7 linked regions of the Canis lupus familiaris genome follow. The main gene of each other region encodes a partner of the protein of the gene in region 6 in a complex. Links are inferred from orthologs where the notes say so. Each region holds a gene or a part of one and is shown on either strand. Other genes may lie near its edges.

Region 1 (3,752 bases), on a different chromosome or scaffold from region 6:
GCCTTGTCTGGCGCAAACCTTACCAGCCCCAGGGTGCCCCTCTCTGCTTATGAGCGCGTTAGTGGTAGAACCTCACCACCGCTTCTTGACCGAGCCAGATCCAGAACCCCACCAGGAGGGCCAGGTTCCAGAACCCCACCATCTGCCCTGAGCCAGTCTAGAATGACCTCTGAGCGGGCTCCCTCTCCTGCCTCTAGAATGGTCCAGGCTTCCTCACAGTGTGTTCTTCCTCCAGCTCAGGATAGACCTAGGTCACCTGTGCCATCTGCTTTTTCTGACCAGTCCCGAGCTTTGCTTGCCCAGACCACTCCTGCAGCAGGGTCTCAGTCCCTTTCCTCTGGGACAGTGGCCAAGACCACGTCTTCTGCTGATGACCACAATGGCATGCTCTCTGGCCCTGCCCCTGGCATGTCCCATCCTGAGGGTGGGGAACCACCTGTCTCCACGGGGGCCCAGCAGTCTTCTGCATTGGCCGCCCTGCAGCCGGCAAAGGAGCGGCGGAGTTCCTCCTCCTCCTCCTCCTCCAGCTCCTCTTCCTCATCGTCGTCATCATCGTCCTCTTCCTCCTCCTCCTCTTCCGGTTCCAGTTCTAGCGACTCAGAGGGCTCTAGCCTTCCTACTCAACCTGAGGTAGCACTGAAGAGGTGAGAGGCTTGACTTTTAGAACTGTTTCTATGGGGCAGGTTTTGGGGATGGTTGGTGGTGGGGAGGGAGAAGCCCTGTCCAGAGGTTCTCTGCTCTTTGATGGAGGTATGGGGAGCTTGACCCTTAAGCTGGGGGTAGAAGAGAATGCTGGGGTGGGGGCAACGGGGGGGGAGGAATGGGTCAGATAAAAGTCTCCTAAGGTTAATTCTCTAGAGGATAATGATGAGTTTTCCGTCTCTACAGAGGACAGAACTAGAGGAAATGGACTTAATTTTACAGCAGGAGGGATGGCAGTTAGACCTCAAGAGGAACTCCCTGGGCTGGAAGGATCTTCAGAGGTCATCCCATCCCTCTCCCTGCCTCCAGGCAGGACGGCCCCTCCCCCAGCCAACCTGCACTCACAGGGGCCTCCCCAAACTGTGGCTCTCCGTGGAAGGAGACCACCCAGCTCACCTTCCACACCTGAGCCCAGGAGCCTTATTCCATCAGGGACATTCTTGAGGTTTAGCCTTGATCCCTTGTGCTGCGGGCCCCAGCCTGTTGCTTGTCTTAGCAGAGGTTGGGTCAGCTCGGGGCCACTGCTCTCCAGAGAACGCGCTCACTGGCTCTCTGAGCTCTCGGCCTGGAGAGCACTCACAGCCTTTCTGCAGCACCACTCCCCCACTGCCGTTCCTCCAGGCCAAGGAAGGTAGGGTTGGGGCTGGGGCAGCTCGTCTCCTTGTGACACTTTGCTTCTCCCACAGGGTACCCAGCCCCACCCCAGCCCCAAAGGAGGCTGTTCGAGAGGGACGTCCTCAGGAGCCTACCCCAGCCAAGCGGAAGAGGCGCTCTAGTAGCTCCAGTTCCAGCTCTTCCTCTTCCTCTTCATCTTCCTCCTCGTCCTCCTCCTCTTCCTCCTCTTCCTCCTCCTCTTCCTCCTCCTCCTCTTCCTCCTCTTCTACTTCTTCCTCCCCCTCCCCTGCTAAGCCTGGCCCTCAGGCCTTGCCCAAACCTGCAAGCCCTAAGAAGCCGCCCCCTGGTGAGCGGAGGTGAGTGCTGCCTTGCTTGAGATGGAAGGGGTGGGGTGAGACCCTGGGTGTGAGATCCCATGAGATCCCTGCTGGGAATCTCAGGTGGACTGTGGTGTCTGGTTATGTGGGAGGAGTCGGGCTCTCCTCTCCCTACCACCTTGGTTGTGTCCCATTGTGGCGAAGGGCTGCACCATCCGAGTGGGTGCTCCAGTCAGAATTGTGGAGTAGTCCTAGGTTCCTTCCTCTCCCTGCCCCTGACATGCATCCTGTTCCCTGCTCCCAGGTCCCAGGGATTCTAGCTTTTAAATCTCCCCGTTGCTACTGCCAGGGCTTTGGTCTGGCCACCGTCATCTTCTCCCGACTCTGTCCACAGCCTCTTCCCTGTCTCCCTGCCTCCACGCCATTCTCTTCCACACGTAGCCAGAGGGATCTTTCTAAAACGCACATCTGGTTACTTCCCTCCACTCCACAAATCCTTCCGGGACGCCCTGTGGCCTGCAGGATAAAGCCCCACCTCTGCGGGAATGGCGTGTGAGGCTCTTCACCAACTGGCCTTGCCTGCCCTGTGTTCTCCTCTCCTGCCCGCCCCCACACATGCCCTGTGCTCCAGCCACACCCAGCGCCTTGCAGTCTAAGGAGAACCCCATGCCTTTGGACATGCTGTTCCTTCTGCCTGGAATTCCCTTGTCCGCCTGGTGAACTCCTCGTTCTGCAAGACTCCGCTCAAACAGCACCTACGAGAAGACTACCCTGCCCCTTCCCTGCCCCACATCCCCTCCCCCGGGGTCCCCAGACCCACGTACATCGGTCCTTGTGGGGCTGCTTCCCATACATGGGGCCAGGTGGGCCTCCCTTGGCCTGCCTTCACCACCAGACTGAGCCCCTCCAAGGGCAGGGATTGTCTTTATCTTTGCATCCCCCGCTGCACCCCGTGCCCTGCCCCTTGGGGCACTCGGTGGATGGTGTGCGGGCGGATGGGTGAGTGAGCAGACAAAGGTGGGTCTGAGGCTGGCCCTGTGTGGTATGAGGTTTGGTGGTCAGGACCTGGGGGGTGGTCCTGAGTGTCGGCTGGCGGCTTTGGAAGTGCGTGGTGCTATGGGGGCTTGCTCTGCTCCTCAGGTCCCGTAGCCCCCGGAAGCCAATAGACTCTCTCCGAGACTCTCGGTCTCTCAGCTACTCGCCTGCGGAGCGCCGCCGCCCCTCGCCCCAGCCCTCGCCACGGGACCAGCAGAGGTAGGGCCTCCTGTCTGTAAGCCCAGTCTGACCAGCATTGCTGAGAAGTTCTGAGGCCCAAAGGGGCCAGTTTGATGTTGCCTTGTGTGTGATCTGATCTCTTCTCGGTGTTGTTGCAGCAGCAGTGAGCGGGGTTCCCGCAGAGGCCAGCGTGGGGACAGCCGCTCCCCAGGCCACAAGCGCAGGAAGGAGACACCCAGCCCCCGGCCTGTGCGGCACCGTTCCTCCAGGTGCGTCGTCCTGGCACTCAGGTGCTAGTGTCCTTGTGAGTGTGCGGGCTTGGCGGGCCACTTCCCTGACTGTCCCTTTCTGTTGCAGGTCTCCTTGAATCTTTCTGGGGCTCATTCTATCATACCCCAAGTTCCGGAGCTGCAGGGAGTGTCCCCTTTCCCCAGCAGAACTGTGGGAAGGGTCCTTGTCTGCCCCCCTTTGAGCCCCGGCAGCATCTTGGGGGCGGGCTCTCCCCCCCCCCCTTTTTCTTTGTTCCTGTGAAATGTTAATCTCTGTGAGTTTTTCCTGGTTCACGTTTTTGGGGGGTTTGGGGTGGGTGGGAATGAGAATGGGAGTTGTGGGAGGGGAGGATACAGTTGGGGACACCCTGGTCTTGAGTTAGAAAGGGTCTGGGAGGCCATGATGCCCCCTCCTTTACCCCTAAGTTCCTGGGGGGGCGGTGGTTTGGAACTTGGGAACTTGTGTGAGGTGTTCCCAGAGGGAAGGGGCAGGAGTGGAAATTAGTTGGCCCCTACTGCCCCCCAGTGAGGTTGTGGCCCCTCCCCCAACTTTTCTTCACGTTTCTTAAAGGCATTTTGGTTTTTTAAAATCTGTACAGCAAGAGCAACTTTTTCTGTCAAATAAAAATGAGAA
Region 2 (3,752 bases), on a different chromosome or scaffold from region 6:
ATTGACTCTTTATTGCCATCTCTCCTTTTCCAATCTACAGGATTTCTTCAAGAAGTTTTTATATGAACCTTTGCCAGTAGAGTCCCACCTCGACCACTGTATGCATGACCACTTCAATGCTGAGATTGTTACCAAGACCATAGAGAACAAGCAGGATGCCGTGGACTACCTGACCTGGACCTTTCTGTACCGCCGCATGACACAGAACCCCAATTACTACAACCTGCAGGGTCAGTGGACTGTGGAGTGCACAGTATCCTTTTGTGGTTCTCATGGCCCTTGCCGGCCATCTCCTGGTGACTCCCTACTTCTCTCTCACCGTTACAGGCATCTCCCATCGTCACCTGTCTGACCACTTGTCAGAACTCGTGGAGCAGACCCTGAGTGACTTGGAGCAGTCCAAGTGCATCAGCATTGAAGACGAGATGGATGTGGCACCCCTGAACCTGGGCATGATTGCTGCTTACTATTACATCAACTACACCACCATTGGTGAGGGGCCGGCAGGGGCTGGTGTCTGGGGAGCCCAAGCTAAAGGAGTCTCATGCAGGGGCCTGCAGCCCAGTGGGTGAGAGGGCACAGGGCTTCTAGCACCCTGTGTGTTCATTAGAGGGATGTATTGTGGGGTAGTACAGGGGTAGGGTAGCCCAGGCAGTTAACTTTCCTCCCTCCTCCTTTTCTACCTGCTTCTGACTCCTCCCCTTTCTCCTTACCTTTGGCTGTCAGAGCTCTTCAGCATGTCCCTGAATGCCAAGACCAAGGTGCGAGGGCTTATCGAGATCATCTCCAATGCGGCAGAGTATGAGAACATTCCCATCCGGCACCATGAAGATAACCTCCTGCGACAGGTGAGGAGGACATCGTGGATTCGGGACCACATCTTTAGAGTTGAAACTTAGCCTGTGTGCCCAGAGCATGCCGTGTTTCTGCCACCACAGGAAGACCCCAACACATCACTCACACTTCTCTGTTTTTAAGGGTTGTGAGCTTGCGGCAGCGGGTGGTACTTTGGGCCTGAGAGCTGTTCTTGGGGAGGGTCACTTGTCCATTACCAGCTCTTTATTTTTCTTCCACTCTCCAGTTGGCTCAGAAGGTCCCCCACAAGCTGAATAACCCTAAGTTCAATGACCCACACGTCAAGACCAACCTGCTTCTGCAAGCTCACCTGTCCCGCATGCAGCTGAGTGCTGAGCTGCAGTCAGATACAGAGGAAATTCTTAGCAAGGTATGGTGTGGGTGCAGGTGTGGGTATGGAGTGGAGGGGCTGGTGGTGGCCTGTGAAGTAGCAGTTCCAACCTTTCCTTCTCTTGCACTCCTATCCTGGTTCAGGCAATCAGGCTCATTCAGGCCTGCGTGGATGTCCTCTCCAGCAATGGGTGGCTTAGCCCTGCTTTGGCAGCTATGGAACTGGCCCAGATGGTAACCCAAGCCATGTGGTCCAAGGACTCCTACCTGAAACAGCTGCCACACTTCACTTCAGAGCATATTAAACGTTGCACAGACAAGGTGAGTTGGGTCTGGACCTGGATGGTTGGATGGCTGAGACAGGTGTCCTGGGATTTGGGGGGTGGGGGGGTTGTGTTTGGGGAAGGGTGAGTCAGAGCAGGGGGGAGTTCTAATTTCTCTGAGGGTGTTACATATTGAGATGCTAGAGAGCCTGACAGTTGTACAGTTGTGGGCTGTGTTCTTTCTGAAGCTGTGTATGGATGCTCTGATGGTATAGGAAGTAAGATTAGCAGCTGTCGAGCCAAATTCCATTTGCTGTTACTCTGTGTTCTCCTTCCCTGACCTCTGAATACCCCTGCAGGGAGTGGAGAGTGTTTTTGACATCATGGAGATGGAAGATGAAGAGCGAAATGCATTGCTTCAGCTGTCTGACAGCCAGATCGCTGATGTGGCCCGCTTCTGCAACCGCTACCCTAATATTGAGCTTTCTTACGAAGTGGTGGATAAGGACAGCATCCGCAGGTGAGCCAGGGCTGGCCGGGCGCCCTGCCCCAGGGTCCCTGCTGGGCACACAGTGACAGGGCCATCCCACCGCACTACCTCGGTGCTGATGCGCTCCCCCCTCTTGTCCCCTACAGTGGTGGGCCGGTTGTGGTGCTGGTACAGCTGGAGCGGGAAGAGGAGGTCACAGGCCCTGTGATCGCACCTCTCTTTCCACAGGTAGGTCCTAGGAGCTGGACAGAAAGAAAACTGATGGATGGAAAACTTCCTGAAATTTCCTTCTAGAAGATAGTTTGACAGAGCTAATTATTTATTTATTGATTTAGATTTTAATTTTTATTTTATTTAAGGATTTTATTTATTTATTCATGAGAGACACAGAGAGAGAGGCAGAGACACAGGCAGAGGGAGAAGCAGGTTCCATGCAGGGAGCCTGACGTGGGACTCGATCCTGGGTCTCCAGGATCAGGCCCTGGGCTGAATGCTGGCACTAAACCACTGAGCCACCTGGGGATCCCTAGCTAGCTAATTGAAACTAAATTGTCAAAAGGCATCTCAAAAATAAACAAACAAAACAAAAAACCACAAAAGGCATCTCAAATGAACTCCATGTTTAAGTACCAGGATGAAGTTTCTTTTGGAAGACTTATCCATCCACTAGATCCAGAGTTCAAGGTTACATTGTCACTTCGGGAGGGAAATTTAGAGTAATGACAAGACACAAGGCTGAGAATTTAATCTTGGGGCTATTGGTGGTTATTTGGGTTTTTTTTTTTTTTTTTTTTTTTTTGCTTTAAAACAATTTAGGGGGCAGCTCCGGTGGTGCAACGGTTTAGCGCTGCCTGCAGCCCGGGGTGTGATCCTGGAGACCCGGGATCGAGTCCCACATCGGGCTTCCTGCATGGAGCCTGCTTCTCCCTCTGCCTGTGTCTCTGCCTCTCTCTTCGGTCTCTCTGAATGAATAAATAAATAAATCTTATTAAAAAAAAAAAAAGCCAGGAAGTTTAAAAAAAAATAAAACAATTTAGGAAAAAAATAAAATAAAAAAATAAAACAATTTAGGTGAGTGGTCATTGTGAAAAACACCAGTTACACAGTATTGTCAATCTCTATGAATGTTAAGATGAATTTGTCTTTTTTTAAAGATTTTTATAATTTATTTGAGAGAGCACCAGTGGTGTGGGGAGGGAGAGGGTGCCACGCTGCTGAGTAGGAAGCCCAATGTGGGGCTTGATCCCAGGACCCCAGGATCATGACCTGAGCAGAAGGCAAGGACTTCACTGAGCCACCCAGGCGCCTCATGAATTTGTTTTTTTTTTTTTTTAGATTTTATTTATTTATTCATGAGAAACAGAGAGAGAGAGAGAGAGGCAGAGACATAGGCAGAGGGAGCAGCAGGCTCCATGCAGAGAGCCTGATGCGGGAATCGATCCCGGAACTCCGGGATCATGCCGATTTAAAGGCAGATGCCCAACTGCTGAGCCACCTAAGCATCCCATGAATTTGTCTTTAAATGGTTCCAAGATAGTTGGGCTTTTCTATGTGGTGGATCTTCTCCTTTCTCACTACCACTTAACTCCATTTTCAGTTACTTACTACTTTATGACCAAAAAGAAAATCTGATCTTTATATGAGAATAATTGAGGACTGAAAGCAGAAATCAGAAACATTGTAATGTTTAATTTCACAAACTAGTGGTTTAAAAAATTCTGGGGAAAGAGTTCATTAAACTGGAACACCTGGACTTTCTGACCGGGGTGGCCAGTGCAAAGGCTTTTGATAGAGGCACAGCCTGCTTTGGATCC
Region 3 (3,752 bases), on a different chromosome or scaffold from region 6:
GCAAACTTCTCTAATCTTTGCCCTCAGAACAGTTCCCCGTGCTTGGCTGGCATTTATTCAACAAACAGAATGAGAGCCCAAGAGAGGTCTCCACACCCCAGGACTCTGCTCTGGGGTTCAAGACAGTTCCTCCTCTTAGGCACAGAGGCCAGAGGGGAAGGTGGAGACCAAGAGGCCAACACAAGGTCCCTGACTTCAGACACTTTCATTCCAACGAGGGACAACATGCCCGAGACAAACATTCTATGGGATGGCCCTCTGCCTCTGCACTCAAGGCTTCAGGCTCCCCACTGAATGAGCCCCTCCAGGCCCAGCAGGGTACCTGGCTCACCTCAGCACTCAAGGCCTGACTCCTCACTGACCAAGCACCCTGGGCCTAGCAGTGTACCTGGCTCACCTCAGCACTCAAGGCCTCAGGCTCTCCACTGACCGAGCACCCTAGGGCCCAGCATGGAACCTGGGTTACAGGGGGCCCTTATTAAACATTCATGAGACAGAAATAAACTGTCCTCCTGAGATGGACACCTGTATCGCTGGGACCCCAAGATCCTCATCTGCTGTTAGATGGGCTCAAGGGGGCTGCAGTGCATGGTCCCACCCTATGCACGCACCCCTGGGTGGTGGAGGCAGTCACGCTGACGACCATGATGGTGGCGTTGGTTAGGATCTGCTGTAGGTTTTCGTTATTCTTGCACTTGTCCAGGCTGTTGCCCAGCTCCTGGAGGTGAGAAGGCAAGAGGGGGAGGCACAGGGATTCAGGAAGGCCTGAGGAGCTCTCTTGCCCCTGCACCTAGTTAAGTCTCTTCTGGGGACATCTGGGGTCTGGATGAAGGCTGCCTGCTCCCAGCTCCCAGGACTTCACCACTCAGAACATCGGTACCGTTGCTCCTGCACTGCTGGTCTAGAACCAGAACCAGGCAGACCCACTGTCTGCAGCAACTCAAAATGCAACTTTGACCACACTGCTTCCTGCATGGATGCCCCCTGCACCATCCTCACCTCCTCCTGACAGCACACAGGAATCTCCTCACCGGTGTCCCCACTCTCACTAGTATCTGGCCCTCTCATGGCTTTTCCAGAAGGCCCAAAGCCTTGGGGGTCACAGGGGATGCAACCTCATTGACTTTGCCCTCACTTCCTCCCTTCTGAACATACCACAGCTTGTCATTATCTCCCGTTCTTGGTACTCCAGGCTTTCCCCCCCATATCTCTGCATGGCTGCCCCTGCATCAACCTTTAGATATCGACTCAATGCCACCTGCTCCAACCACTGTTGGTGGCATGAGAGACCCCCTCATCTCCCTCCTTACTCCCTCAGCCTCAAGCAGCTCCCAGCCCTTCCTGGGAGACCCATCCAAGGAAGCAGCAGGATTGGATGGGTGGCAGAGGAGCCATGAGAACATCCTTTCCAGGCTTCATCCCTTTCTTGCTGGGGAGCCTGGAGCAGCTGAGCCACCACTCGGCCCCTGCCAGTATCTGCAGGCCTCAATAACGAGAAAGGCAGCTGAGGCCTGGAGCAGCCTCACTAACCACATTCCAGGTCATTCACCTGCTCCCTGCTCCCCTTCACATGAGGGGTAGTCAAGAGAACTCCACTGTTCCTGAGTCCCCACCTCTGTCCACTCACCTTGACCGTGCGGATGTAATCCAGTGCATTAGGGACCAGAGACTCCAGTTCAGGGAAGCGCTTTGAGTACTTATCCCGGATGAACTTATGGATGATGTCTAAGGTAGGGAGAACAGGTAGCTGATAAGGGGGCAGGCAGACTCCACTGGCTGTCCGCAACACCCATCTCCCTGCTTCTTTTTAAATAAATGAACCCCTGAATTTAGCTGGGTTCGTGGGTACCCAGCAAAAACGCTACTCCCCTGCTGCCAGGTGTGGCCCTGCAAGTTAGTTCTGGTCTACAGGATATCATATGAAGTGATGCATGCAATTTCCAGGTCACCCCCTTAAAGAACTGTGCCCTCTTTTTCTTCCCTGTTCTGCTGGTGGGGATGTGGAGGTGATGACTGGAGGTGGACAGTCACTTTGTGCCCTGACACAGGTGGCAGGTCAAGACAGAAAGAGCCTGACTCCAGGGCTGGACTCCTCATCCAGATTCTCACATCGGAGAAAAGCACACTTTCTTTTTTTTAAGCTGCTGTTATGGCAGCTGAATCTGGACTACAGCTAGTATGAGGAGTCTGGGGCAGGATCTTGGGGAAGGCCAGTGGGGAAAGTAACCAGGGTCCTGCCTGTCCTCTCCTTGTGGATGGGAGGAGAGTGGAAGGGACAGCAGGCAGGGCCATCTCTGCCCTTCCTGCCACTCACTCAGCTCATTCTCGATCTCCACGGTCAGGTTGTTAGCATCCACGATGACTCGGTATTCAGGGGCCGCCTCAACAGGTCCCATCACTGTGAAGATGAGAAGCAGCCTTGGTGGGTGAGTGTCTAGGCTCCCACAGCCAGGGGAGTCAGGAGGTGTAGTTGGAAGGGAGCTGGGAGGCTAATAAGAAAACCTGGAGGTTTTCCAGGTTTTCCAGGGTTTCCACGCTGGCACACCTCCCATTTCTCTCTCTCCAGGCCAGTCTAGACACCACGGCGTGTCGCCCCGGAACTAACCCCTTAGGGGATCCCCACACCACTGAGGCCGAGGTGCAAGCTCCCCAGACGGGAAACACTATGAAGACAAGTTCTGCACCCCCAGTGCCCAGATGCCCACAATAGTGCCTGGCGCACGGGCACTGCTCTGTAGGTACCTGCTGACTCTCCAACTCCACAGTCTGGCCTTTGCACCGTCCAAGCCCCACTTTTTCAAGACACCACCATCTTATCACACACCAGCCAGGAAGGACTGACTGCAGTGCCCGAGCACTCAGGGCTGCTTCCTCTCCTCTGGGCCTCTGCATATGCTGTTCCCCCTCCCTGGCATGGCCCTTCCTCAACATCTGTTTCCAAAAGGTTCCTCTCCAGGTTTTAACAATGATGACAGTGAGAACATGGTCACAGGCCGTAGGTGCAGTGGCCAACACACATGGGACTCACCACGTAAGTGCCACTGCTCTATGTGCCTTACAGGTATTAACCTGTTTTACCACTATCATCTGGGGAGGCTGGCATCACATCAGACCATTGAGGCAGAGAGAGAGAAATGGAGGGATGTGGCCTAAAGCCATGGACCCAGCAGATGGCAGACCTGAGATCTAGCCCCAGCACCTGCATTCTTAACCCTGATCACTCAAATGTTTCTGCATCTTGAGACTCAGACAGCACCTCAGGATCCTTCCCTCCCCCTTCAGGAGGGTCAGATGTCTCCTCTGTGCTCCTGCGGAACTCCTGCCACATCCGTTAGACATAACCGCCACCCAGGTTGGAGGTGTTCTGTGTTCACCTCCTCCACCAAACACCAGGTGAGATCAGGTCTGACCTAACTCCGAGCCTGACCCGACATCAGGGAGTGTCCCTTCTACCGCTCCCCACAGCTCGCTGGCCTGGTGCTCAAAATCCTGCAGGATCTGGCACTTTCTCCTGCTGCCTCTGCCACTCCAGACATGTGAGGCTTTGCACACACAGTTCTCTTTCTCAGGGCATATAGCTGCTGTTCTTGGCCTGGTATGTGTATTCATGCTTCAAAGCCAATTTCAGGTATGGCCTGAGGCAGGGTCAGCCCCGCTCTGGTGGCTCCAATGCCCCCAGCTCTCCCCACCCCAGCAGGCACCGCCCACAACCACTGCCCAGACCTGACCTATCCGCTTTGCCAGACACCGAG
Region 4 (3,752 bases), on a different chromosome or scaffold from region 6:
AAAAAAAAAAAGAATTGGAGAATTTTAAGAGTCAACTTTGAGAAAGAGATAGGGAGAATATTTTCTTCTCAGTAGTCTCAATTTAAAATTTTATGTAACCTGTATCAGGGCCTTTCATTCTCCTGTAAATTCTTGTCAGGATTTCTTGTTTTTCTTTTTTATGTTTTGCATGTTACATAATAAAGAATAGAGAAACAAATTGGAGAAATGAAATTTAAAATGTTTTGCAGTCTTGCTAAAAGGATATTATGGCTATAGACTAAAAGTAAGGATGGGCTGGTTCATGGATCTCATTTACTTAAATTTGTAGATCTTTTCCATTGTCAAAATTAGACTGATTATATGGCTACTACAGGTAAATTTCTTTTCCTTTAGAATTGTTTAAATATTTAATCAAATATTTAAATCTTAACAGTGAGGGATATTAGAGATAATGGGAGACTTCTAATACATTTATATAACATTTCATATATCTACCATATTTGGTAATCACCAAAATTACCATTATATTTATCTTTTAATTTTTTTTTTTTTTTTTTTTTTTTTACTTTTAGCAAAGTGTGGGATGCTGTCTCAGGAGATGAATTGATGACCCTGGCTCATAAACACATTGTCAAGACTGTGGATTTTACACAGGTATCAGAAAATAGAATTTATTTTAGAAGGTTTAGATTGCTGTTATTATATGCTGTAATAATGGTTGTGTATTTGGTTTGTATATTTATTGTATATTTGGGGGGATACAATTTGTTTATATTTGATTTAATTACAGATTAAGCTATACAGATTTATTTATTTGATTAATCCTAAAGTACTGTGGAACTCTTGGGTCAGTTCTTCCATCAGTAGCAGCAGACATCTAAAATGTGCAAGTAATGTTTCCTCAGTACTTTCAGAAGGGAGAGGAAAAATTTGAGGTCATCAAAGAGGTGTTTCTTAGGAGGGAGAGGTGCAGGATCAGGGCAGAGGAAGAAAATTAATATGGTAGGTGGTATAATATATTTGAACTGGAGAGCTTAAAGGGTTTTGGCAATTATGAGAAAGATAAATGTTTTCTAGAAGCAATTGGCATGTATTGCATCTCTTTATGAAGTCTGAACTTTATTTGGATTTTAGTTGGTGTTAAAATTTTAAAGAGATACAGCTATTAAAATGGCTAATCTGTTAACATTTTGCTTGTGTGTGTTTTCAGGATAGTAATTACTTGTTAACTGGGGGACAGGATAAACTGCTACGCATATATGATTTGAACAAACCTGAAGCAGGTGAGCATAATTTATATGTCTTTGGATTATATTTTCTTTTAATTTAAATGAGTTTTTAATGTCTCTTTATTTGCTACATTGTGCTTGTGTAGTTTTCTTGCAAATTAAACACTTACCAGTTTATCATGCTAAATTTTTATCATATTAAGTTTAAAAAGGTACAGAGCAGTGTTACTACCTTTGGGAGGAAAGAATGGTTGTCTATAGAAAGTGAGAAGGGTAAGATTTTTTTTGTGTATATATTCAGATTTTTAAACCATGTGAATATATTAGCTAATCAGAAGAATTTTTTTCTTTTTTTTCAGAAGAATTTTTAAAATTAAAAAATTAACATTTTTTTCATGTCTTTATTCTATCCACTGTTTTTAATGACTATATCATTTTCATCCTATGAATAAGTGGATTAACCCATCTCTTATTCTGGTCCATTTGGGCTATTTAGAAATCTTAAATATAAGTAGTGTTATGCTGAACATTCTTATAGTTGGCAAATATTTCCGCAGTTATTTCTATAGAATAACTACACAGAAATAGAATTGTTGGTACAGAAAAGAGGTACACTTGGAAGCCATTGGTAGGTATTACCGAAGTGTGCTCCAATGAAATCTAAAAATATATAGCTAACCTGTTCTGACAAGGACCAATAACTAATTTTGCCTTTCCCAATTTAATAGAAGAAAAGTGATTCTGTGATCGTAATGTGAACTTGAAAAAATTATTCATGAGATTAAAATACTGTTGAATACCATTTTAATGTATTCTTTTGTGAACTAATAGTCTGTTCATGCCCTTTGCCAATTTATCTGTTAGGATGTTCATCTTTTTATTAGTGGTTTTAAGGTTCTTATCTTCTAATTTGTCTTTTGCTTTTAAATTTCGTTAATAAAGTTTATGGTATACGCATTGTAAAGGCTCTGGTGGTGGAATTTATCATTTACTTTATGAATTCTCTTATTGCACAGAAGCTATAAAAGATGCTTTTTCAAAACTCCCTGGTCCAGATATTCGTCTCTTTTGTAGTTTCTTAATGCTTTTCTAGCCACATAGTATATATATTTCAAAAATCAGCAGATTATGATAAACAGGGTTGTATTTATTTTATATAAGTTGGTATCTTCTATATTGTATCATGGGTATTTATTATTTATTCGTAATAAATCTATGAACGTCAGAAGTTTGTATGAAAGTCAAAGTTACATTGGATATTAAGCAGTTATTCTCAAGATACTCTTTTCTAAAAGCATTTCTAAGGCGAGCAAACTGACTACATTTATAGATTATTCTTCACAGACCCAGTGGTATTTCTTTTCATTTTCTTTAATAACGTTATGCCAAAACATAAAGCATTTGGACCTCATTTCATCATGTATCTTTCTGACTCAGCAAGGTGGTTCAGGTCTTAGGCGGACATTTTTCCATCTTTTACCTTTCTCAAAGCTGTTTTTTGAAAGTGCCTCTTTACTGTATTGTCAATAGAAATAATAGCAGTTAACTGCTTTTACTGTATGTCAGACTCCAGGTTAGAAACCTTAGATGTATATTCTCATTTGATCTTCATTCTCAAGCTATGAGGTATATGGTAACTATTGTTATCCCATTTTGCAGATGAAGAAATGGAAAGGGTTAAGTAACCTTTATTTCAACAGGTTTATTTCAACAGGTTAAATGACTTGCTCAAAATTGTGTTGAATGGCTTTGCCTCCAGCATCTGCTTTTGCCCAAAGATAAGAGTAGGGTTTTTTTTTTCTTGTTAATCTTTTGCAGGGAAAGTCTCCAGCAGAGACAGATCCCCCCCCCCCTTTTTTTTTGATGCTTTGTTCTCAATGTAGAAATATTCTTGGGAATTACTGCATTGCTTTTTATTTTCCTTTTCTCCTGTCAGCCTCTACTTCCCTCTTTTTTCCTGTTTCTACCAACAGGCTGGGAGGAGGGTCCCAGTGTTAGTGATATGTTGGATGAGCTTCTTTTATTTCAGTGTGGTACAGTTATGCTACTGAAAGCAGAAACAGCCTGGAGGGAGCAATGCATTCACTCCCAGATACATATAGCAGCATTGCTCTTGGGTTCTTTGTCATGCAGATAAATTTTTAATCCAGTGTAGAAAAACTAAATGTATTCTGTGGAAACCATAAGTTTTCATTGTGTTGGGCTTTGAAAAGTTGCAGCTTAATTTAAAATGTACTTCTTTTTTCTTCACATAGTTAATTGTTCCAGTATTGCTTAGTTTAAAAAACCAAATATTAACAAATATATTCTACATTGTTTCATTTTAAGAACCTAAGGAAATCAGTGGTCACACCTCTGGTATTAAGAAAGCTCTATGGTGCAGTGAGGATAAACAGATTCTTTCAGCTGATGATAAAACTGTCCGGTAAGTAATTTTTCTTTAGTAATTTAAAGTTTGAAACATTTGACCTTAGTGCTTATATTTTAAATATTTCTCATAACTGTATGTAGGAAGAATTATCTCTATACATTGAAAGTTAA
Region 5 (3,752 bases), on a different chromosome or scaffold from region 6:
GGTTACCATTAGTCTCACTTGTTTTCAGATTGAGACCTGTGCTTCTAAATGCTGGTATTAGCCCTTTAGTTTTCCTCCTTTCTTTTTTTTTTCTTTAAACATTTTATTTATTTATTCATGAGAGACACACACACAGAGAGAGAGAGAGAGAGGCAGAGATACAGGCAGAGGGAGAAGCAGGCTCCATGCAGGGAGCCCGACATGGGACTCGATCCTGGGTCTCCAGGATCAGGCCCTGGGCTGAAGGCGGCGCTAAACTGCTGAGCCTCTCAGGCTGCCCTGTTTTCCTCCTTTCCACTAAGTCGAATAAAATAGAATAAAACCTAAAACATTCAAATAACCCTAATGCATCTATATTGACCAGGATGGCGAAGCTGTCCAGAAGGGCCTTCAAGCTGGATTGTGCTGCTGAAAGATAGTGTTGGGGGTCAGTGTGTGGCTTTCAGAGAGGCCCAGTTTGGGGCAGGTCAGGTTGGACATTGCAGAAGGACACTGCTGGCCTGTTGGGGGATTTGTCACTCTTACAGATAGGTAAGGAAGGGGGTTGCTGTTCCAGCAAGATGAAGATTTGGCTACCCTGTCCTGACCCAGGTTCCCGAGCTGCGGAAGAAATCACGCCGCGAGTACTTGGCTAAGCGGGAGCGAGAGAAGCTTGAGGACCTAGAGGCTGAGCTGGCTGATGAGGAGTTCCTTTTTGGGGATGTAGAGCTGAGCCGACATGAGCGGCGGGAGCTCAAATACAAGCGGCGAGTGCGGGATCTGGCCCGAGAGTACCGGGCGGCTGGGGAGCAGGAGAAGCTGGAGGCCACCAATCGTTACCACATGCCCGAGGAGACCCGAGGCCAGGTGAGGCAAAGCAGAGTCCACTTTAGCCCTGCTCTCCAAGCTGAGTGGAGGGAAGTCTTCAGGGCTTTGGACAGGGCCTCCACTGGCCCCTTCTTGGTCTTGCCTTTCCTAGTGGGTAGGGATAGTGACTGGAGAGGAGAGACCTGGGAAGAGGGCATCCTCTGTCTTCACATGTCCTTCTCTCCACAGCCATCACGAGCTGTGGATCTAGTGGAGGAGGAATCAGGCGCCCCTGGGGAGGAGCAGCGACGCTGGGAGGAGGCCCGGCTAGGGGCAGCATCTCTGAAGTTTGGGGCCCGAGATGCTGCCTCCCAGGAGCCCAAGTATCAGCTGGTGCTGGAGGAAGAGGAGACCATTGAGTTTGTCCGGGCCACTCAGCTCCAGGGCAACGAGGTGAGCAGGAGAACTGTGGCACGTTCTAACGAGGTTGGGAAGCCGACCCTGAAGCTCACACCCCTCCTCCTCTGCAGGAGCCATCAGGCCCATCGCCTCCATCCCAGGCCCAGCAGAAGGAGTCCGTGCAGGCTGTCCGCCGCAGCCTCCCAGTGTTTCCATTCCGCGAGGAGCTCTTGGCTGCCATTGCTGATCATCAGGTCCTCATCATCGAGGGTGAGACGGGCTCCGGGAAGACCACCCAGATCCCGCAGTATCTCTTTGAGGAGGTACAGTCATCCGCACCCTCCAGGTTACCGGCCACCGGCCCTTGACAAGCACAGTCCTGTCAGAGCTCTTTTCACATGTTGTTTTGAGCAGTCACTTACCTTTTCATCTTTAATCATAGTCTTCTCCATTAAATTGTGAGTTTAAGAATAAGGGCAAACTTGTTTCCTGTTTCTGTTCTCACTTCTAACACAGTATCTGTGTCTAGTGCCAGCATTCGTGTTGGAAAGATGCATAAACAGGTAGATGGTGGGGTTGGGACCTTCCCATACCAACCCATTCAGCCATCGGTCCTCTGCAAAGGACAAAGAACAAGGAGTCAGAGGATTCATTTTCTTGCTTTTTCACCTTCTCTGGCTCCCCCTTGCTTCTGGGTCTGCCCTAGTTGGTCTGTCCTTTTCCATCTCAGATCTAGCTGAGCCTGAATGTGATCACCCAAAAGTCTGGGACCCTCAGAGGGTCGGGTTTTCAGTTTCTGTCTGTTCCTTCATCTCCCCCTGCCCTGTCGTGCACTTACACCTTTTTTCTCTGAATTATCCTAGGCCTCAGGAATATATTTAGCAAAGGGAAAACCTCTTCTCTTGTCATTCAGGGATACACAAAAAAGGGAATGAAGATTGCCTGTACCCAGCCCCGGAGAGTGGCAGCCATGAGTGTGGCTGCCCGAGTGGCCCGGGAGATGGGTGTGAAGCTTGGGAATGAGGTGAGATCTGTGGGGCCTAGGTAGGGAGGGGAGCCTCTAGGGTCTGGGACGTAGCCCACACTGCATAGGGCTTCACACCACACGTCCAGGCACTGACCCCTCATTCCCTAGCCCTGCACTCCCTTCCAGGAGTACCAGCCCAATCTCGATCGTTAATGGTCCCCTTGACAGGTTGGCTACAGCATCCGCTTTGAGGACTGCACATCAGAACGAACTGTCCTCCGCTACATGACAGATGGGATGCTCCTCCGGGAGTTCCTCTCTGAACCTGACCTTGCAAGTTACAGGTACACATGGGGTCACCACCTCCCACCAGAGAGCCACCACCATTCCTGCCCAGTCTGCTGCATTCTGACCCTTCAGCACCTTCCTGTGTCTTCTTTAATCTCTAGCCTATTTTTCCTTTCTTGTCATCCAGCTAGTTTGGCCTTTGTCTTCTGATTAGCCCACCGGTTCTTTTTTTTTTTTTTTTAAGATTTTATTTATTTATTCATGAGAGACAGAGAGAGAGAGAGAGAGAGAGAGAGAGAGGCAGAGACACAGGCAGAGGGAGAAGCAGGCTCCATGCAGGGAGCCTGACGGGGGACTCCATCCCAGGTCTCTAGGATCATGCTCTGGGCTGAAGGCAGGCACCAAACCTCTGAGCCACCCAGGCTGCCCAAGCCCACCAGTTCTTGAAGCTTGATGGTGTGGACAGTCCTAGGACTGACCTGTAGGCACCATGGAGATGGGGTAGAGGGACTGCAGAGATAGACCCCCCACCCCCCATTGCTTGCAGTGTTTAGAAAAACACCAGGATGGCAGAATGGTGCTCTAGAGACTTGAAAAGCCACGTGAAGACCCTTTGAAGAAACTTAGAATGTCCAGCTTAGAGAGAAGAGACTCAGGGAGACATCCTGGTTCCTTCTAAATATGGGAAGGGCTGCTCCGTGGAAAAAGAGGTCAAGCTTGTTTCACGTGACTGCAGCGAGCACAACTAGCAACCACGGGAGTGGCTATAGGGGAAAGAGGTTTCAGTGCAACACTAAGAAGCGAGAGTGGTAGAGATTGAGGCCCTCAATTGAGGTAGAGATTGTGTGCTGGGGCCCTCATCTTGGGCCTTTGGCCCAGGTCTTGGAGTAGCTTGGTCTGTGAATAGTACATTCCCAGTGCTGGTGTTGGCCAAGCAGAGCTTGGATAAATATGTGTTTAGGAGGAGAAGGGATCTGTGCATGGGCTGCTGGTGGGATCAGGCCAGCTGAGCAGTATGTGGTTTCTCAAATCTTAGGAGGCTGTGAAGTTCTGGTCCTAGAAGATCACAGATGGAGCAACAGGACAAATATGATCTGAGCTTTCACATCCCTTGCAAAAATCTCAGAAACCATGGAAGGCCAGCTAGTGCAAGAGTGTTTAGGGTGTGCGGTTTTCCTGTCAAGCCAGCCTGCTTTGTGAAACAGCTGGGGACTTCACTGGCATAGTCAGGGATACGCACAAAGAATTGAGGTCAGGGGTGAGCTCCTGCAGGCATGGCTGTCACCTGAGAATCCAAAGACTTTAGCAAAGA
Region 6 (3,680 bases):
TTTGTTTCTCTGACTTTGTGTGCCCCTGGGTACTGGGGTAAAGGGCTCTCATGTTCTCCCCACAGGTGTGTAAGGGGGGAGAGCTTGATTTTCTGGCCTCATTGCCTATTTGTAAAGCTGTAGCCTAAAGGGCTCTCCCAATGCAGCCTGGTCTGAAACTGCTTTAAGAAGCCTCTGACCCTCTTCAGGGTAAGTGCTCAGCTTCCCGTGTGGGTTTGGGGCCAGTGATTTTTGTTGGCATTTATAGACACAATTAGAGATATTTTCTACTCTTCTATATGTAATTGGATAATTCCCTTGTCTTAAGACTCACAGATTTTAAGCTTCTGGCCTATGAAAAAATGTGGGCTAGCTTTTTGTGCATATTACATTCAAGGCATCCTGAGGCCCAAAGAGGTTATGTGACTTCTGTCATCATTCAGCTCTCTTTGGCCACGTGCAGTGGTCCATGTTATGTTGTTGGTAGCTATGAATTCCTTTTGATTCCCTTTAGGGCTCTTGTTTTCTTTTTGTGGCAAGAGGTCAAGAAGTACAAGAGACAGTGTGGTAGGGATGGCTGAGTGCCAGGTACACATTAGAGAAGGGCCAGCAGGTCAGCGTAGAACTATTCTAAATGGTTCCCTCCTGTTGTTGTTTTAATGAAACTATTCTGATAATTAAAAAATGTTTATTGGAAAACATATTTTAAAAATACATAAAAGTGTATGAAGATTTAAATACCCAGAATGGTGGGGTTTTTTTTGTAGTTTTTTTGTTTTATATGGTTTTTTGATTTTTATGGAAGAAAAATACATGCTTTTATTTAAAAAGAAAATTTAGATAAGGAAAAAGGAAGAAATGTTCACCCACAGAAAACTGCTGTTAATTTAATATAAAAAATATTAAAGGAAACCTATAAGTTTTTAAAGATCAGAGCATTTTGTCTTTGCTTTATTTTTAGGATATTAGTTTTGGCTTTTTCTTTACTTCCCCTATCTTGCTACAGTTTATTTCTCAGTTTACATTTACAGTTGACACTTGAACAACCCAGGGGTTGGGGCACTGACCCCATACAGTTGAAAATCCACGTATAACTTTTGATTCCCTGCCCCAAACTGAACTACTAATAGCCTCCTGTTGTCCAGAGGCCTTGCCAATGACCTAAACAGATTAACGTATATTTTGTATGTTATATGTATTATATACTGTTTTCTTACAATAAAGTAAGATAGAGAAAAGTTATTAAAATCATAAGGAAAATATATTTGCAGTACTGTATCAAAAAAAAATTCACATACAAGTGGCCCCACACAGTTCAAACCCATGTTGTTCAAGGGTCACCTATATAATTTGTTCTCCTGCTCTGGTAGTTACATTGGGAATGTCTGTTTTTGTGCTTTGAGGACAGAGGTGTAATTTCTATATAGTTAATTCTTTTATTGTTTCTATTTCTGAGGTGAGATGAGGGCTGTAGTGACTCATTCTGTGGGGCTGACTTGGTAGTGGAAGGGTGTTGTGTGCAAAGGGCTGAGTGGGGTTCAGTGGACTTGAGTTGTTCCGGCTGCCTCCTCACACTGACAAGGCCTTAAGCTGGAGGGAGGGAGTAGGGTAATGTCAAAGAAGGTTGGACTGCGGAAAGGCCTTCCTGATAGTTATGGACTAACATTTGAGCCAGGGCTGGGCTTTAACTCGTATCCTGTCTCTTGGTCAGTGCATCCCCTTGCCGTAGGAGACAGCCACTTAAAGGGGTGGTGAGTTCAGCCTGTGAAGACTGTCTTAGAGAAAGTTTTTGTACCATTTGTTGGGAGATAACAGTGTAAAACAGATCTTGGAGGCCCCTAGACAGGTGAATGGAGCTTTACCCTTTTCCTAATGCTTGCTTTTTTATTTGTTTTCCTAAACCCATTCTCAGGCCAAAGAACTCAAAACAAGCAGAAAGAGAAGAGAAGCGAGTCCTTGGTCTGGTGCTGCTTCGAGGGGAGAACCTGGTCTCAATGACGGTAGAGGGACCTCCTCCCAAAGATGTAAGTCTGCCTCGAGGGCCACTTTAAGGTGGGGAAGCCCTACTGTGAGCCAGACTCTGTGTTAGGTTCTCTGCATTTATTTCACTGCATTACTCACAGGCATCCTCTGGTTTTTCTCCTGCTTTTACATATAATGCAGTCTCAAAGAGGTTACCCCACAAGTAGGAAGTAGAAATGGGGAACCAGAATTGGAGGGTTCTAACTTTAAAGCTCTCCTCCTTTCCCTCAGATGCTGTACACAGTGAGGAGAAAAGGCACCTAAGGCCATCTGGTCAGTTCTTAATGTGATGGCATTCTACCTGGACCTTGAACAGTCCTCTAACTCCAGGGGGCACCTGGGAGGCTCAGTTGGTCAAGCATCCTACTCTTGATTTCAGCTCAGGTTGTGAACTGAGGGTTGTGAGACTGAGCCCCACATCAGGCTGCACGCTCAGTGGGGAGTCTGCTTGAGATTCTTTCCCTCTGCCACCCCGAACCACATGCTCTTACTTGCACATCCACTCTCAAATGAATAAATCTTTAGAAAAGAACTGGGAGAGCTCAGTTAAGAGGGAATGAAGAAACCAAAGGACTCATGAACATTAATTTAAAATGCTGGATTGTGGGGTGCTTGGGTGGCTCAGTTGATCGAGCTGCCAGCTCTTGATTTTGACTCAGGTCATGATTTCTGGGTTCTGGGATCCCATCCTACATTAGGCTCCATGCTTGGCGGGGTGTCTGCTTGAAGAGTCTCTCTCTCTCTTCCCCTTCCCTCACTTACTCATGAGCGTTCTCTCAATTAAAAAAGAAAAAGTCCTAACTCCAAATAACAGAATGTATATATTTTGTACAGTTAGAGAATAATAGTTAACATTTATTAAGCATCTGCTGTATATCAAGCAGTTCCATATTTTAGTTTCTCCTTACAAGCAGTTTTTTGAGATAAATTATTCCCACTTAATAGAAAAACAGGTTTAGTAACATGCCTGAGTGTCACAGCTAATAAATGGTGAAGCTGGCATTTGATCCCAGGCGGTCTTGGTTCCATAAACACCAGGCTCCATTTAGAAATAGAACAGACTTGGGATCCCTGGGTGGCGCAGCAGTTTGGCGCCTGCCTTTGGCCCAGGGCGCGATCCTGGAGACCCAGGATCGAATCCCACGTCGGGCTCCCGGTGCATGGAGCCTGCTTCTCCCTCTGCCCCTCTCTCTCTCTCTCTCTCTCTCTCTCTCTCTCTCTCTCTCTCTATCATAAATAAATAAAAATTAAAAAAAAAAAAGAGACTTTAGAGCGTCTAACCAGGTTTTCCCCATTTTCATTTTAAGACATCATCAAAGGAATAATTGTCCTTAATTTTACTTTTGTCCACATATGTATTTTTTTAAATTTAATGTGTAATATGTATATGTAATACTTTGTTTTGCTCTTTCACTAAACACTGTAAACAGTTTTCCAGTTAACTGTATGGTTTTTAAAAGTCATGTTAAAAATACTCTCAAGTGAGGAACAGAGTACTTACCCCAATCATTTCCTTCTTTTCTCATACATTGAGACTCATACATTGAAGCCTTTCCAATTACAAATGCAAGGGATTTACCATATTTTTTGGTTAAAGTGTATGTCTATATTCATAACTCTTGGATTGGTTTCCAGTAGAAATTGCTTCTGTTATATAGGTCACTGTAAGTCTTCGTGAC
Region 7 (4,238 bases), on a different chromosome or scaffold from region 6:
AAGGCAAGCCTTGACCTCTGAGTCATCAGTGGAAACATTGATTTGCCGGGCTCGCTTTCTTCTCTCAAACTCAGCTAACACTTCGGCCTGTCGTTCACTGATGTGCTCTTCAATTTCAAACACCTCTCCTATAAGAAGAACAGGTAATATCAGCATTATCACTAGATCTTCAAACAGAGGGGAAAATAATTTCTTACAATTGCAGTCTGTGTATCCTCTAGGAACTAATTTATTACATACTTTATTGTTTCTCAGTTTATTAAATTTTGCTAAACACAAAAAACTAAATGATAGCTCATTTAAAATTACTTAAGTCATCTTTTTTTTTTTTTTTTAAAGATTTTATTTATTTACGAGAGAGAGCGAGAGAGACAGTGCAGGAGTGCAGGGAGGAACAGAGGGAGGAGAAGCAGACTCCCTGTAGAGCAGGGAGCCCAACACAGGGCTCAGAACCTACCACCCTGAGATCGCGACATGAGCCAAAACCAAGAGTTGGACGCTTAACCAACTGAGCCACGCAGGCTTACCTCACATCATCTTGTTTTGACAACCTTACATCTACATACACACATAACTTAGAGGAGATCAGAAAGTAGAAGTACAAAGCACTTTCAGCAAATGAGTTAACTAGATCTTCTATCCAGAAGATAAAATAGATACAGTACTTTAACACTTGCCAAACCTATTCTCTAAACCAGCCCCAGCTGAGGATATCTATGACTTTAACTAGTAAACTGGAGAAAATTACCATTAAAGGGCTTTCCCTTAACTATAGACTTTTTGGATAACCTAGCAGTTAGTTTTAAAACCAACACTGGGGCATCTGGGTGGCTTAGTCGGTTAAGCATCTGCCTTTCGCTCAGGTCATGATCCCATAGTCCTGGGATCGAGTCTCAAGTGAGGCTTCCTGCTCAGTGGGGTATCTGCTTCTCTGCCCCTCCCTGGCTCATGCTCTAATAAATAAATAATAAAATAAATAAATAAAACACACACTGACTATGAGGATTTTTTTTTTTTTAAGTGTGGGTGTGGAGCCCAACTCTGGGCTTGAACTCACAACCTTGGGTGGTTCAGCGGTTGAGCATCTGCCTTCGGCTCAGGACATGATCCTGGAGTCCCAGGATCGAGTCCTGCGTCGGGCTCCCTGCATGGAGCCTGCTTCTCCCTCTGCCTTTGTCTCTGCCTCTCTCTGTCTCTCTCTCTCTCTCATAAAAAATAAATAAAATCTTAAAAAAATAAATAAATAAAATCTTTATGGGATCCCTGGGTGGCTCAGTGGTTTAGAGCCTGCCTTTGGACCAGGGTGGGATCCTGGGGTCGGGTCCCATGTCGGGCTCCCTGTATGGAGCCTGCTTCTGACTCTGCCTATGTTTCTGCCTCTCTCTCTCTCTCTCTGTCTCTCATGAATAAATAAATAAAATCTTAAAAAAAAAAAAAAAAAAAAAGAAAGAAAAAGGCTCTCTAGATGATGCTAACCAGGGTAGGCAAAGGATGGCCTTACATAGATCCAAGTTTAACTAACATTTTTGATATTATAATACAAAGATAAAGAGGGACTCACAATTTGCATCTTACCAGAGGTTATGTTAATATTTCCTGCTTCAATTCCAGCTTTAAGTCCTTCTTTTCCCAAAATCCCAGACTCTCCTTTGGCCAGACGCTCCCTCTCCTTCTCTTCCAAACTTCCGTAATAGATGTGTGGTTTCTTCACAACAGGAGCAACTAAGTCATCAGGTGCCTTAGTTTTGGTTGCCTGATAAATCAAAGACACGGATTAACCTAAGGTCTGATACTAACCACTTATTAGGCTTCCCCCAAAGGATGGAGCTCATCCTGAGCTTCAATCCTATTTTCCCCCCAAATGAAAAGGACAGGTCGGACACCAGTTCAGGTTATCTTCACTGACTGGGGGGCGGGGTGTCTCTCCAAGCTACTTAGGTTCTGCAGACGGGAAGAGGCTAATAGAACTAGTCCATCATTATTCTTGGTAACTTTTCTATCAAAGATTTGCTTTGGAACATGTCTGCATCATTCCGTGGCAACCTCTTCTTGGGTTTTATGAAATTTCCAAGGTTACCCCTCATCACAGGGGCAGTATCAAGGAGAACAACCAACGCAGTATTAAAGGGGGGCAAGTTAGTTACTTTTCGGTACATTTCAAACGTTTTCAGAGTAAGGCAACACATATGAAGTTAGGAGGCCAAACTGCAATGAAGTCTGACACAGACGTGAATCTGGGCCTTCTAGAGCTCAGGTTTTGGAGCAGTCGGAAGAGGTATTTACCGTTCGGGCCTGTAGTGAGGGGTGCAAATGAATTAAAACACGGGAACGGGGGGATCCCTGGGTGGCTCAGCCGTTTAGCGCTGCCTTCGGCCCAGGGCGTGATCCTGGAGTCCAGGGATCGAGTCCCGCATCAGGCTCCCTGCCTTGAGCCTGCTTCTCCTCCCTCTGCCTGTGCCTCTGCCCCTTTCTCTGTGTCTCTCATGAATGAATGAATAAAATCTTTACAAAAATAAAAATAAATAAAACACGGGAACGTACTTCGGGGTCTGGAAAACGCTGCTCCTCTAAGGACCGAGTCTCTCAGCCTTTCACCTCCGACCTCCACCGCCTTAGCCCGTTCCCCGAGGGACCCCATTTCGCAGGAACCGCCCCCCCAGCCCCTTCCGCGCTCCCCGCCAGAGTGAGTGGAGTTCCGTACCGTGGAGGCGGCTCGTGAGGAAGCCATGCTGAGCTCCGCGGCCGCCAAACCCCGGCGAAAGCCGAGCTCTGCGTTTTCAGACCGTCCACCGCGCGCCCGGCAAAGCGGAACTGCGTCACTGGCCGGAAGTGGGCCGACGCAGCGTCGTGGGTGGCGTGGGGCATGACGGGAGTAGTAGTAGGGAAGCGTCGTGGCGCCAAGAGTAGCGTGAACTTAAGGAGAAAAGCACGCGGCGGACGAGACTCTGCAGAGCAGTCTGGGAAGTGTAGTCCCGCTCGCTTAGCTGAAGATTCGCGGTGGGCGCCGCCGGGGTTCCGGGAGGAGGCCGAGCAGGCTTGGAAAGAGGTAGGTGCGTCGGGCCGCGCGGCCGCGGGCTGAGCTCCGGAGCAAATGGAGGGCTTCCGAGGCCTGCCGTGGCCCCCGGCCCCGCGAGGGGCTGCGGTGGGCCCGGAGCGGAGGGCCAGGTTGCCATGGAAACCCTCGCTGTGGGCCCGCGGGTGCCACTCTGCAGCTGGTCGCCCTCCCCGCTGTCGGGAGGTTGTCCCAGGGCCCTCCTTGGAGCGGGCTGAATGCGCAGTGGATTCGGGCGGCGGCCACCAGCTCCCAAGTAGAACGGAGGCCCGGAGGAGGAGCCACGGCCTGCTTTTATTGCTGGTCTTCAGCCGAGTGTTTGTACCGGGGTCGGAGTGAGGCGATGCCTGTCAAGTGCACACGGGCACCTCTGCACGGCCTGGGTACCGCGGGGGCGGGGGGGGGGGCGGGCTGCGGCATCCGACAGGAGCAAGGCCAGGGCTTTCCCCCCTGTCGGGGGTGGAGATGCTTGAAGTTTGGGTGATTCTCGGGCCGGACGGAGGCCCCCCCCCCCCCCCCCAAGGACAATTAGGATGATAATAATAATAATAATAGCTGGTGTTTATTGGGCGTTTACTAAATGCCAAGTTGTGTTCCAGGCACTTACACTGCCGTACCTCACTCAGTCTAGACAACAGAGGGCAGAACATGAGGAAACCAGCGTCCACTGTGAAGATGAAGCTAGTGTCCCAGAGGGTTGGCGTGTGGGATTAGAGCCCCTGCCCTCTGCCCTTGGGCCTCCTGAGCGAGCAGCTTTGCCCATCACTCGGTACTGCCTCCTAGTGGCGAGCTTTACAAAGTTTGCAGAAAAGTGAGGAACCTGTACGGCAGGGTTTTTTTTTTTTTTTTTCCCTCCCCTACTCTCCCTTGGAACTTCGGCTTCCTCTACCATTTGTTTACATCGGACTTAAGAGAGTATCTGATTTATTTCTTTGATTTTACCTTTTTTTTTTTTTTAAAAAGGGAAGATTTTTATTATTAAGTGATTCTACACCCAATGTGGGGCTCAAACTTAGAGCCCCCACATCAAGAGCCCCATCCATGCGCCACCAACTGAGCCAGCCAGGCGCCCCAAGATATTATCGGATTCAGTGTGCTAGTATTTTATGGTGAGAATATCGCCTGTTCTGTTCCAAGCTTCACAAAGGATACATTTTTTTCTTTCTATGCTTCCAGTCTGTAGCTA

The links.
Region 1: SNRPB (region 6) and SRRM2 share a complex: the UniProt entries of both Homo sapiens proteins name them as parts of the minor spliceosome. The link is inferred for Canis lupus familiaris from reciprocal best matches to the Homo sapiens genes SNRPB and SRRM2.
Region 2: SNRPB (region 6) and SNRNP200 share a complex: the UniProt entries of both Homo sapiens proteins name them as parts of the U4/U6-U5 tri-snRNP complex. The link is inferred for Canis lupus familiaris from reciprocal best matches to the Homo sapiens genes SNRPB and SNRNP200.
Region 3: SNRPB (region 6) and PRPF31 share a complex: the UniProt entries of both Homo sapiens proteins name them as parts of the U4/U6-U5 tri-snRNP complex. The link is inferred for Canis lupus familiaris from reciprocal best matches to the Homo sapiens genes SNRPB and PRPF31.
Region 4: SNRPB (region 6) and STRAP share a complex: the UniProt entries of both Homo sapiens proteins name them as parts of the SMN-Sm complex. The link is inferred for Canis lupus familiaris from reciprocal best matches to the Homo sapiens genes SNRPB and STRAP.
Region 5: SNRPB (region 6) and DHX16 share a complex: the UniProt entries of both Homo sapiens proteins name them as parts of the minor spliceosome. The link is inferred for Canis lupus familiaris from reciprocal best matches to the Homo sapiens genes SNRPB and DHX16.
Region 7: SNRPB (region 6) and PRPF4 share a complex: the UniProt entries of both Homo sapiens proteins name them as parts of the U4/U6-U5 tri-snRNP complex. The link is inferred for Canis lupus familiaris from reciprocal best matches to the Homo sapiens genes SNRPB and PRPF4.

What each region holds. Positions count from the first base shown.
Region 1 is NC_049227.1:38,751,353-38,755,104, forward strand, and holds part of SRRM2 (serine/arginine repetitive matrix protein 2), read left to right. Parts: coding exon 1-644; intron 645-888; coding exon of another isoform or gene 889-901; exon of another isoform or gene 902-906; coding exon of another isoform or gene 907-983; exon of another isoform or gene 984-1,388; coding exon 1,389-1,673; intron 1,674-2,028; coding exon of another isoform or gene 2,029-2,190; exon of another isoform or gene 2,191-2,265; coding exon of another isoform or gene 2,266-2,290; exon of another isoform or gene 2,291-2,774; coding exon 2,775-2,888; intron 2,889-3,007; coding exon 3,008-3,118; intron 3,119-3,206; coding exon 3,207-3,216; 3' UTR 3,217-3,752. UniProt on the Homo sapiens protein: Required for pre-mRNA splicing as component of the spliceosome. As a component of the minor spliceosome, involved in the splicing of U12-type introns in pre-mRNAs.
Region 2 is NC_049238.1:34,675,797-34,679,548, forward strand, and holds part of SNRNP200 (U5 small nuclear ribonucleoprotein 200 kDa helicase), read left to right. Parts: intron 1-40; coding exon 41-230; intron 231-327; coding exon 328-492; intron 493-726; coding exon 727-848; intron 849-1,081; coding exon 1,082-1,225; intron 1,226-1,329; coding exon 1,330-1,506; intron 1,507-1,807; coding exon 1,808-1,968; intron 1,969-2,084; coding exon 2,085-2,166; intron 2,167-3,752. UniProt on the Homo sapiens protein: Catalyzes the ATP-dependent unwinding of U4/U6 RNA duplices, an essential step in the assembly of a catalytically active spliceosome. Plays a role in pre-mRNA splicing as a core component of precatalytic, catalytic and postcatalytic spliceosomal complexes.
Region 3 is NC_049222.1:103,842,685-103,846,436, forward strand, and holds part of PRPF31 (U4/U6 small nuclear ribonucleoprotein Prp31), read right to left. Parts: intron 2,399-3,752; coding exon 2,315-2,398; intron 1,726-2,314; coding exon 1,628-1,725; intron 719-1,627; coding exon 612-718; intron 1-611. UniProt on the Homo sapiens protein: Involved in pre-mRNA splicing as component of the spliceosome. Required for the assembly of the U4/U5/U6 tri-snRNP complex, one of the building blocks of the spliceosome.
Region 4 is NC_049248.1:15,359,196-15,362,947, forward strand, and holds part of STRAP (serine-threonine kinase receptor-associated protein), read left to right. Parts: intron 1-554; coding exon 555-636; intron 637-1,192; coding exon 1,193-1,265; intron 1,266-3,539; coding exon 3,540-3,636; intron 3,637-3,752. UniProt on the Homo sapiens protein: The SMN complex catalyzes the assembly of small nuclear ribonucleoproteins (snRNPs), the building blocks of the spliceosome, and thereby plays an important role in the splicing of cellular pre-mRNAs.
Region 5 is NC_049233.1:606,522-610,273, reverse strand, and holds part of DHX16 (pre-mRNA-splicing factor ATP-dependent RNA helicase DHX16), read left to right. Parts: intron 1-591; coding exon 592-846; intron 847-1,035; coding exon 1,036-1,239; intron 1,240-1,316; coding exon 1,317-1,508; intron 1,509-2,048; coding exon of another isoform or gene 2,049-2,098; coding exon 2,099-2,209; intron 2,210-2,380; coding exon 2,381-2,496; intron 2,497-3,752. UniProt on the Homo sapiens protein: Required for pre-mRNA splicing as a component of the spliceosome. Contributes to pre-mRNA splicing after spliceosome formation and prior to the first transesterification reaction.
Region 6 is NC_049245.1:19,129,969-19,133,648, forward strand, and holds part of SNRPB (small nuclear ribonucleoprotein-associated proteins B and B'), read left to right. Parts: intron 1-1,891; coding exon 1,892-2,003; intron 2,004-3,680. UniProt on the Homo sapiens protein: Plays a role in pre-mRNA splicing as a core component of the spliceosomal U1, U2, U4 and U5 small nuclear ribonucleoproteins (snRNPs), the building blocks of the spliceosome.
Region 7 is NC_049232.1:68,050,338-68,054,575, reverse strand, and holds the start of PRPF4 (U4/U6 small nuclear ribonucleoprotein Prp4), read right to left. Parts: upstream 2,857-4,238; 5' UTR 2,729-2,856; coding exon 2,702-2,728; intron 1,754-2,701; coding exon 1,576-1,753; intron 129-1,575; coding exon 1-128. UniProt on the Homo sapiens protein: Plays a role in pre-mRNA splicing as component of the U4/U6-U5 tri-snRNP complex that is involved in spliceosome assembly, and as component of the precatalytic spliceosome (spliceosome B complex).